Linked DNA regions of Drosophila melanogaster. The protein of the gene in region 1 purifies or fractionates together with the protein of each later gene. This does not show direct contact. Each region holds a gene or a part of one and is shown on either strand. Other genes may lie near its edges.

The links.
Region 2: the proteins of Nuf2 (region 1) and Nnf1b purify together in Drosophila melanogaster (affinity purification with mass spectrometry, with the first as the bait; one large-scale study listed by BioGRID). This does not show direct contact.

The regions. Positions count from the first base shown.
Region 1 is NT_033779.5:7,062,773-7,069,340, forward strand, and holds Nuf2 (Nuf2), read right to left. Parts: upstream 3,066-6,568; 5' UTR 2,994-3,065; coding exon 2,693-2,993; intron 2,633-2,692; coding exon 2,260-2,632; intron 2,203-2,259; coding exon 1,689-2,202; 3' UTR 1,659-1,688; downstream 1-1,658. Other genes in the region: Sem1 (suppressor of exocyst mutations 1), read left to right, coding at 1,314-1,425, 1,481-1,608; Ugt307A1 (UDP-glycosyltransferase family 307 member A1), read left to right, coding at 5,211-5,866, 5,918-6,568.
Region 2 is NT_033779.5:807,365-812,183, forward strand, and holds Nnf1b (Nnf1b), read left to right. Parts: upstream 1-3,212; 5' UTR 3,213-3,281; coding exon 3,282-3,394; intron 3,395-3,444; coding exon 3,445-3,657; intron 3,658-3,724; coding exon 3,725-3,839; intron 3,840-3,894; coding exon 3,895-4,068; 3' UTR 4,069-4,167; downstream 4,168-4,819. Other genes in the region: Dbp21E2 (DEAD box protein 21E2), read left to right, coding at 4,272-4,819.

The DNA of each region.
Region 1 (6,568 bases):
CTGGCAGCAGCAGGACAGGCTCTTGTTCAGGGATAATCCAGATGAATGAATGTATGTCCCGATCCCACGGATATGTGTCCCATCCAACTTGTCGCCCCATTTAGCTACAGCAATTACGGAAAATCGGAGCTTGTAACAAATTGTTAAACGATGATAATAATTGCATTGAATTTAATTTGATTTGTGCGTAGAGCATCTGTGATGAATAATAATGTTTAAAAAATGACGGAGAAGGAGCGAAGTGGAGAGCCCAAAACCACACACAATACTGATCAACAATATTACTAATCAAATATAAGGTGTTTTATTCCTCGTATATAACATTAGCAGACTAAATGTAAACACAAACGAAATCAAACAAACTATTTAATTATGTAGATTTGCAGACCGCAACAACTAAATGTTAAATGTTGAACTAGAGTTAAAATTGTGAACTCTAGAAACCGAAACTAACGATGCAACAAAGGAGTATATATTTTGGCATACAAAATTTTTACCATTAAGTCAACTAAATGGAAGAATACAAATTGTGAAATATGTTTTATTTTTACTACATTTCGGACAGCACGAAAACCAGCCCAAAAATAGACAAAACTTAAAGTTCGCTATGCAATAAATCAAAAGGCAGCAATTCAAGAACGGAAACAATATGAAAAACTATACGCATATAACATATATATTTATTAATGTTAACATATGGTACATTTTTGATCTAATTGTTTAAAATAGCCAACCAGCAGCAACAGTTAAATTAAATGTAGCTTAAAACCCAAATGCTCAATAATCCCTTTAGCTTGAAAACTAAATAGCCAGCCGTAAAAATGTTATACAAATCATTAAATGCATATAAAGCCAATTTTAAAGTCTACAACAAACCTGAGAAACTTGAGATCTTAAATGAACTTCATTTTTAAAGTGCTTCAACTTTTTCGGGATTGTAATAGCTTGCGTTTGAATTCAACTCACAATTTAGTCGGGTGAAAAGCCTAATTACTTAATTCTTTTACTAGAAAAGGAGAAATATATTAGAATTATTAACGGCTGTGTCAAGTTGCCAAATATCTGCCAACATTTGTTTGTAATATTCTTAATTAATTCTTTAGCCTTTTTTTCTAGCTATAAAGTTAGATTTGACATCACTGTCGGGTGCCAACGGTATTTTGAAAGTATTTTTTCCTGTTCACTTGGGTATATTTCGACGGTACAGCTGCGGTCACACAATTAAAAGTGACTGGCATCATTTAGCAACAAAAAACGCGAATAGCGTCAAAAACATTGTTTTATCGCCGTTGGAATTAATAAAAGCACACAAAATGTCTGCCCCAGATAAGGAAAAGGAGAAAGAGAAGGAGGAGACCAACAACAAGAGCGAAGACTTGGGTCTCCTGGAGGAGGACGACGAGTTCGAAGAGTTTCCCGCCGAAGGTTGGACGCAATAATGTGGTGGTACATCGGCAGTTTCTAATCACTTTCATTGTAGATTTCCGCGTTGGCGACGACGAGGAAGAGCTAAATGTGTGGGAGGACAACTGGGACGACGACAACGTGGAGGACGACTTCAGCCAGCAGTTGAAGGCCCATTTGGAGAGCAAGAAAATGGAAACGTAAACCGGCACCGACCCCTTTGTTCAGTCCTAACCATAAAAACGAGCTGAGCTGTTTTGCATTAATAGAATAAAATCAGTATATTAAGTGGAATTCATCTGCCAGTTTTGTCCGAGAACCTCATGGATTTGCTCATTTAATATGGCATATAGCTGATCTTGCTCCAAATTTTGCTGGTCTAGCTCGATCAAGTGATTATTCAGATCCTCCAGACGTTTCTTGCGATCCTCAACATCGACCTGCAGCTTTTTGAGTTCATTTTGCACCTTGTGATTCTCGGCATCGTTTTCCTGGTTTCTTTCCTCGTACCGATGTGCACAAAGAGCGAGTTCCTGCTTCTTGGCCTCTGCATCCTGAAGGAGCTTCTGATAATTAACTTTACAGGTGGGCAACTGCTTTTCCACTGCCTCCAGCTGCTTGAAGCTCTCTTTGTAATCATCCACCTTGCACAGCGAAAGCACAGCCGTGGCCTTCTCCAAAGCGGTGGCTATATGTTGACTGTTTTCGATCATCCGGCGATGTTCATTCGTCACCTGTTTTTTACTGGCCAGCTCCGTCTTGCAGCTCTCGACATGCGACGATGCGCTCTTAATTTTCCTACAATGTTTGACATTAAAATAAGCACAGAATCTAGGCTTGCCCGACAGCACTTACTCTCGCAGCTCTGTCACTTGACTGTCCTCCACCACTAGCTGTTCCCAGTGACCGATGCGTTTGTCCAGCTCACCCTGCTGCTGCTCAATGAGTTCCAGAGTGTTTTCATGCTCGCTACAGGACTTCTTCAAAGGTAGAAGCTTTGCTTGAGTATCCTGCAAATCTTTCTTGAGTTTGTTTATGGCCACTTCGCAATCCTTCGTCTTCTGGCTGCATTGCTCCAGCTGTTGACTTTTGGCCTTCACCTCGGCGGTCAGCGAATCCTTTAGCTTAATGGCCTCCTCTACAGGTCCCAGCACCTTCTTTTTGAACACCTTGTAGTAGGCCAGATGGTTGAAAAGGTAGCTCAGCGTGGCGAGCGTTTTTTTAACAGCTAATAGCCAAAGAATTGTTTAATAATAATTGCTTATTGTAAGACCGGCTGCCGGCTCACCTGGTTTAATTATGTCCATATAGGTGTACGTCTTGTTGGGAAAGCTGATCTGGACGATGCGCTCCACTTGGCGGCACACTCGGATAAGAAAGACGCGCGCCTCCCGCGACGAGTGACCGAGTTCGGTGCCAATCTTATAGGGCGGCTCCAGGCGAAAGCCGAAACTCCGCAGATAGTGCACCATGATCTTGGTGACAATGGGCTCGGTGGGATTGGCCAAGTCGCTTTGGCAGATATTGATGTCGGGCATCAGGCAGTTGCCCTGGTCCATTACCCTTTCAATTTCGACTGATAACGCCATTCAATCCAGAGTTTTAATTTTTAATGGCAGTTTTTGAATGGAACGCCGCTAAGGGATCAGATTGATGTGACCAAAGCTTGCTAGCCCCAAAAAACCACTAAAATACTAACTCAGAATTTATGTGGTTTTCACACCTATAGTCCTACAGCAGATTCTCGGGTTTTTTTATCCGGTTTTCTTTCCCGGCAGCTAGAAAATACTGCATTTGTTCAGCGCAAACTTAAAAAGTAACGGAAAATCTGGCTAAAGTTACTAAGTTACATTTTTTATTGGTGAGTGAAAACTCTGGCTTCCTCCAGCGCTGCAAAAGATGATGCTAAAAATCTGATATGCCCGTACGGGGTTTTCTCCAAAACTTGGCCAAAAAAGGTGGCACAGCGAAAATAAAGACTGTTTTGTACTGCTAATAAACATACCTAACTATCCCTATCACTAGTTTTTTGATTTTCCAAAAATAAAATTTTTACAAAATTTCGCATTTTTGATAAGGGGTACCCTCATCAAAATTTGCAAAAAATTGAAGCCTCTTGGATCTTTCAGGTTTCAACACATATGGATAGGGAATTAAGTTACGAACTCAACGAGATATGACATTCCAGTTTTGGACAACTATTCTTATTGCTATTGCAAAAAACTCGTTATTTTTGTAACCAAAAAGGAACGAAAAGAAATTTTGCCAAAAATCGTATATTTCCAATCGCTGATTTCTCCATAACTTGGCCAAAAAAGGTGGTACAGTGAAAATAAATACTGTTTTGTACTGCTAATAAACATACCTAACTATCCCTATCACTAGTTTTTTGATTTTCCAAAAATAAAATTTTTACAAAATTTCGCATTTTTGATAAGGGGTACCCTCATCAAAATTTGCAAAAAATTGAAGCCTCTTGGATCTTTCAGGTTTCAACACATATGGATAGGGAATTAAGTTACGAATTCAACGAGATATGACATTCCAGTTTTGGACAACTATTCTTATTGCTATTGCAAAAAAACTCGTTATTTTTGTAACCAAAAAGGAACGAAAAGAAATTTTGTCAAAAATCGTATATTTCCAATCGCTGATTTCTCCATAACTTGGCCAAAAAAGGTGGTACAGTGAAAATAAATACTGTTTTGTACTGCTAATAAACATACCTAACTATCCCTATCACTAGTTTTTTGATTTTCCAAAAATAAAATTTTTACAAAATTTCGCATTTTTGATAAGGGGTACCCTCATCAAAATTTGCAAAAAATTGAAGCCTCTTGGATCTTTCAGGTTTCAACACATATGGATAGGGAATTAAGTTACGAATTCAACGAGATATGACATTCCAGTTTTGGACAACTATTCTTATTGCTATTGCAAAAAAACTCGTTATTTTTGTAACCAAAAAGGAACGAAAAGAAATTTTGTCAAAAATCGTATATTTCCAATCGCTGATTTCTCCATAACTTGGCCAAAAAGGTGGCACAGCGAAAATAAAGACTGTTTTGTACTGCTAATAAACATACCTAACTATCCCTATCACTAGTTTTTTGATTTTCCAAAAATAAAATTTTTACAAAATTTCGCATTTTTGATAAGGGGTACCCTCATCAAAATTTGCAAAAAATTGAAGCCTCTTGGATCTTTCAGGTTTCAACACATATGGATAGGGAATTAAGTTACGAATTCAACGAGATATGACATTCCAGTTTTGGACAACTATTCTTATTGCTATTGCAAAAAAACTCGTTATTTTTGTAACGAAAAAGGAACGAAGAGAAATTTTGTCGAAAATCGTATATTTCCAATCGCTCATTTCTCCAAAACTTGGCCAAAAAAGGTGTCACAGCTAAACTAATGACTGCTAATAAATATAACTAACTATCCCTATCACTATTTTTATGATTTTCCTAAAACGAAATTTTAACACATTTTCGATAAGGGGTGTAAAACTGGGCGACACATTTGATACATGTAACAATGAACTGGGTGAAACATAAAGGCGTAAGGTTTGAAGTTATCTGACTTAAGCACTTAAATAAATAGTTAAAAACATAAATAACTGTGCTCTTTGATTTTGTTAAATTTGTTAATGGCTCTGATTGGACAGCGCCGTGACGCCACAGTTTTCGACTTGATGTCGTTGGGTAACCAAATCGCTTGTTATCATTTTGATTGATTTATGGTGTGTCCGTGCGACTCTGCTAATTAGCTGCTAATGTAAATTTGAGTCGAGCGCCTCAGTCATGAAGCGTTCGCCGATCAGTTGGTCACTTCTGTGGATGGGCTACACATGCATTTTCCTGCTGGCCGATAGCCCAGCCCCTGTGGAATCCCATCACATTTTGGGTCTCTTTGTCAATGTGCACCGGTCGCAGTTAATGGTCCATTTGGCGGTATGTCGCGCTCTTTTGCAGAGGGGTCACCACTTAACCCTAGTCACCACATTGCCGCTGGAGGAGCAGGAAATTCAGGGAAATGTGTCACACATTTACATTCCCTGGCAGCAGCCAAAAGAGGAAGTATCCTCCTCGGACCTCATTCTGCGCCTGGAACGGATGTTTAGGCGTTTGGAGCATTCTGGAGATCTGCTTGATCTGCCGGAGTGGAAGATGTTTCTCAGAAATCAACCTAATACTCCCTATGATCTCCTCCTCTTGGGCTATCATTTCAACGATCATCTGCTGGGAGTTGCTGCGCATTTCAATTGTCCAGTGGCCATAGTTTCCACCCAACAGCCAACTGGATTTGTCAACAGCCTTATGGGTAATCCCGAGGAGCGTTGGTATGTCCCACAGCCGTATGATGGCCAACAGCGAAGTGGAATCTCGGCCTGGGTCTTTGGAATGTGGGAGAAGTTCATGGAGATTTTGGCGAGGAGAGTGCTGGCAAGGATCTACCGGTATGTATCTAAACGCAGTTGTTTAGCGATCAATTGAGATTTTCTTTTTAGTTTGCACTTTCCCGAACCGCAATATCCCAGTTTTGAAACCATGCGACGGTCGGTGGTTCTGGCTTTAAGTAATCATCACATGATCAGCGAGGGTCCCATAGCTCCACTTATTCCCAGTATGGTGGATATAGGAGGTATAGTCCTAGAGCAACAGCTTGATAAGACTCCTCTGGAAATATCAGCCGGCAATCGATCTCTCATCATCTTCAGTTTGGGCACTCGTTTCACTTGGCGGAAGTCCACTAAAGAACTGGTGCGGACTTTCACAAAAGCTTTTGCTCAGTTTCCGGACTATGACATTTACTGGACCTACGATGGTCCAAATGGTAGTGCCATCAGCTTGGATTACCCTCACCTTAAAGTCGCCAAGTGGTGGCCCCAAACGCAGATGTGGCAAAGTGGCAAGGTTCGATTGTTCATCACTCATGGAGGCAAAGGCAGTGTCTCAGAAGCTCTTTTTTACGGAGTGCCCATGCTGGGACTACCCTTAATTGGCGATCAACGAGATAATCTTCAGAGAATGCAGTCGAAAAACTGGGGTTTGACCTTATCCACCAACAATCTGACGCATTGGAAACTAGCGAAGGCCATAACTAGAATGCTTAGCGATTCGAGTTATGGTGAAACTATATTGAAAGCTTCTCAATTGTA
Region 2 (4,819 bases), 6.3 Mb from region 1:
CAGCACCCACACGCAAAATTCAAGTGTCCTTGGAAAGCTACACGGAGAACTACTTGCACTCCCATCAACTCGCCAATAATAATAAATAAGCAGATAATACTGTTCATAAACACATCTGCAGATAGAGTTGAAAGCCATTTGTTTGAATTGAAAGTTTGGCTAAGAAGTAATTGCTGCAACTTTATGTGGCAAACCTTCGATTTTTTTTCGCAGTGCAACCACACACTCAGCAATCTGCTGGCTGTTTAAATATGAGCAACAGATTAAAACTTAATTTAAAGTTGACCCAGCCGGGTTTCGTGTTTCCACTTCAAGTTTAATTAATATGTTAAGCCCGTAAAAGCCGCTTCGGTAAACTAACCCCACCAGCCGGTTGTTGCTCCGGTGTTTGTTTTTTGTTCGGCCCATTCCCGAAAAGGAAATCAACCCCCCCCCCTCTCCCACCGAGAGCTTAGGCAAACAAAAGGTTTGCGAATCGCATTCCATGGAAGATGAGGCGTCTCCAACGATATGAAGGACTTACATGTGTAGCTGGAACTCGGTTTGCATACCAATTGTCTGACGCTACTTTCGACCATTGTACTTGCGTTTCATTAGTGTTAATCCGCAAAATCGGTAGGACTACGGCTGCCATATCCAGATATGTGCAGATACATATACACAGCCTTGTATATGGCGGCAGCTGTGGTTTCATGCATTGTTCTAATGCGTGCTTAAAGCGCATTTCCAGCACGCATGAGTGCCCACAGTTGCGGTCACATGAATAGTGGTCGGCTCCTAACCATCGATTTGCGCGACAGCTTGTTAGTTCAGAAACTATTAAAAGTCGCTTAACTCAGGCAAATTCTGCACAATTGATCTACATATGTGTGTCAAGCACACGTAGGCGACCTCCACTGTGGATTTGCATGCGAATGCAGCTCCCAAATTCACGAACAAAGCACAAAGCACCACTCGACAAATGCGCTGTAATTCGAGGCGACAAGTATGCAGCGAAAATTTTAAATGCATTTCACGCACTGCGGCTGACGCACCGCTCCCCCAGCCCCACACCCCCTCCCACCACTGGTATTTTCCCAGTGGTTCTCCATTCCTGTCACGCCCGCAAGTGTCGCCAAGCGACGGCTGCCGCTGCCAGCCAGGACCCACTGTTGCACACAGGACGAACAGATCAGAGCCAAGCCAACATATCCGCTTCTCATCGATATTTAAATAGCGCATAATCAAGGTGATGATAACACTATCAGCAAATGGTTATAACACACTGATGTTCTTAAACTAAGAAAACAACAATGTACGTTTAGAAGCCTAAAAGGATAAGTGTTTCTTTCAGTGCAGATGGCGTTGACTTGATTGGAATTTGACCAGAATTTCGCCCACTGGCAAAATGGAGCATCAATTAGAGCCAAGTGATTTATCCAATTTGTAGCAGGAGAAACCCTTGACAGGACGACACGAGACTTTCTGATTAGTAAAATAAAACTCGAATAACTTTTTAGCAATCTGACGTCAAAGGATCAGACACGAACGCTCGGAATTGAATATCCAAAAGTTTCTTCTTTCCTCGAGATACAGCTGAACTTTGCTCAAGAACTGATTGCTTTATGTTATATGGAAACTCAGAGGAATAACTTTCTCAAAGGGTTTCTAGGTAAGTGATATGAGTTTATTAAGAAGAAGTATTTTTTCAGAACTTAACATTTTCACTAATTAAAGAGAAGACTTTCGGGGAAAGCATATTCTCTCTTTTGAGCAGGACAAGCGCAAACAGTGTGAGAAATGCATAGTTATTTGGATTGGTATAATTCAGAATTCAGAATTCAGAAAAGTATGCAAAACTTTGTCTCAGAATTTAGGCTCATTTGCATACCAGTCGCACCACAAAAAGTCAACATCTCCAAGTTTTTCACACCATGTGCACGAGAATAAGAATATTAAAATCGCATCTTGCTTGAGGTGTTCGCTTTATAAAGCCATTACCAACTATCCGAAGGACGAAGGCGGGTGGATCCTGGGCGGTGGTTCCTGAACAGTCCGCATGTGTCGGCCGGCATTTTAACACTTTAATCATTGAAATGCAAATTCGGAGCCGAGTTTTAGCAAGACATGCGGCAGAGTGGCACATGCATGTTAACACGGCCACCGACTGGCACGCCTCCTGATTCTGCTTCTGTTCCTGGAGGGGACAGCTCAGGATTCTGGCCGGGATTTAGCATATCTGAGATCCGGGCCACACAAAGAGAAAATGTGTATCGAAACGGAGAAGATGCTAGTGGGTTTTTCAAATCTCACTTAATGGTGCCTGAAAGTATGCACCAAGTTTTGAAAAACATGTATGTCCCATGGGTAACAATGTTTTCCGGGTAACAATTTCGAACTTTCCACCTTTTCATTTTTGTGGCATTTATGGGTCGTTATAAGATTGATGTCGAAATGATTTTTCCTGTGCAGGGGAGAGCACATTTCGAATTCTGCCTACTCCACAGCTGAGTTCCTTTTCGGACCCGGAAAATAATGGAAATGCCGGACCCGGCGAGCGAATAAATTAACCTGGATCGCATTTATATTCGAAAGTAGTGGCTCGGTGATGCTTAAACCTGAGTTTGCCGCAGAATGCTTCCTTTATTGCACGTAAATAAAGTCATAAAGTCATCATTACAACCGCGCCAACGAGGAGCACACGATAAGGAGCACAAAGGACAAACTTTTGTGACTGCGATAAAAATTCGCAAATGCGCACAAATTACTCAAAACATATTAAAAACTGCGTCCCCGCCTCAACAATTTGCCCAAAACGTTGCACAAATTAAAAACCCTCTCGAAAGAGCGGAGATAAAAGGAAATTCCATTGTGGCAAGTTTTCCCGATGTGGCAAACTGCAGTGAAAGCACAACTTTCGGGGAAACTGAAAAGTGCAGTTATTGAGTGTTAGTTGCAAGTTCCTTCGCCGATGCGACATGTGAAAAGTTGTGTAATTCAGTTCGAGAAATACACTCTGAATGTGGCGTAAAAAATGAGTTCAATGTTATATTGAGTGTTTTCGAAGTAATGCCAACTTACCAGATTTGATGCTTGAATTTAACCAATTAGCCAATAACCGTTGTTTAAAATAATTTATACAATATATATGTTATCATAATTGAAAGCAGCTCGAATACCCTATACCTACAATCATGTCATATAGGGGTTGGTATTCACAACCTATCTGTAAATGGTCACATATGTTTTCGGTCGCCAAGTTTTGCTTGTAATTATTATTTTGCCAGAATTGTGTTAAAAGTATGAATAATATTGAAGAGGACACCGAAGCAGCCTTCAAACGGCTCCAGGCTGTCATTCCACAGGTGAAGCAGGCCTACGAGGAAGCCATTGGACAGATCTTCTCGGATTTAAAGTAGGAGAATGGCTGATTAAAAGATTGACCAAACGCTTACTATTGCTTAGCTCCTCAGATCTTGAGTCGTGTGCCTCCATCCTCGAGGAGCACGAATCCACGAGCCTGGACACCGAGCAAATAATCCACAGCACCCGTCGGCTTATGACCAAGATCGTCCTGGATGTGAACCAGTGCTTCTTCTCCGGCAACGACGTGGAGACCAAGCTGACCACGCTGGAAATGCTTAAGGAGCAGTTTGCCGCCCACGAGGGCAAGAACTGGTTAGTGAATGGTTTTGAATTTGGTTGTCCAGCAGCACTTTCCATGGTTTTTAACGTAAATCCGCAGGAACTTCAACTGTCTGTCCCCTGAGGAACTTACTCGCCCTCTGCGCATGCACAACTTGAATCTAAGCATCACATTCATGGAGCAACAGCTTAAGAAACAGGAAAAGGAACTCGAGGTATGTATTTCAACCTCCGAAGAATTAAGTAATACTTGGATTACTTCGATTTTAGATTGCTATGGCCAAAAGCATTAAAAATCGACAGCTTATACATGATGTCCACGCTGAACGGGTGAAAGTGGGATGTATGATGAAGCAGCAGTTGGCCGAGTACCAGGCCATTAAGCCACAGTTAATGGAAATGGAACGGCTAATAAATGATTCGTATGTGCAGGAAGAAATGTAATTTTATAAAAAAAAACAGATTATTATTATTATTATTATTATTATTATTATTATTATATTAGTTGCTGGGTCTTGAAATAAATATGAATTTCAAACTTACCGCCACAAGTGGCATTGAATTCGAGCGGCGCTTTCCAACACTTCGATGCGTGTGCACAGCTGACTTGCCGGCAAATGAAAAACATTGAATAATATTCCGAAAGCATGCTGAACTTGTCCGTGGTGCTCCGGGTGCAATCATCGCGCCATGTGGCTTCATATGCCACAGCGGCGGCGGCGGCAGTTAAGACGAAGCCACCAAAGGCAAAGTCCAAGGGCAAAAAGCAGAAGGGGGAGCCCCTAATCTCCTGCAGAAGAAGCCAGTTCGATTTAACCCAATACGAGCAGACGGATGCCAAGTTTGGGAGTCTTTCGCTGGCCTCCAAGGGCTGGCTGCACAACAAATCCAAGGGAGACTTCTTCATCCTGAACGCCAGCGTGCGAGGTGAGGAACTCCAGCAGGAAATGCAGACCGTCGATGAGTTCCTCGAGAGCACGGGGATGCAGATTCATCCGCAACTCCTTGAGAACTTGCGAGTCGAGCTGGGCATCAAATTACTGACGGGAATCCAAAAACAGGGAATGCCCGTTGTCCATGGAAATGAGCACTGCCTCATTGCCGCTGAAACTGGGTGTGGAAAAACAATTACATATCTCCTGCCTATCGTAGACAAACTCCTCCAGAAAGAAGTGGTCACCGAACGAAAACTCAA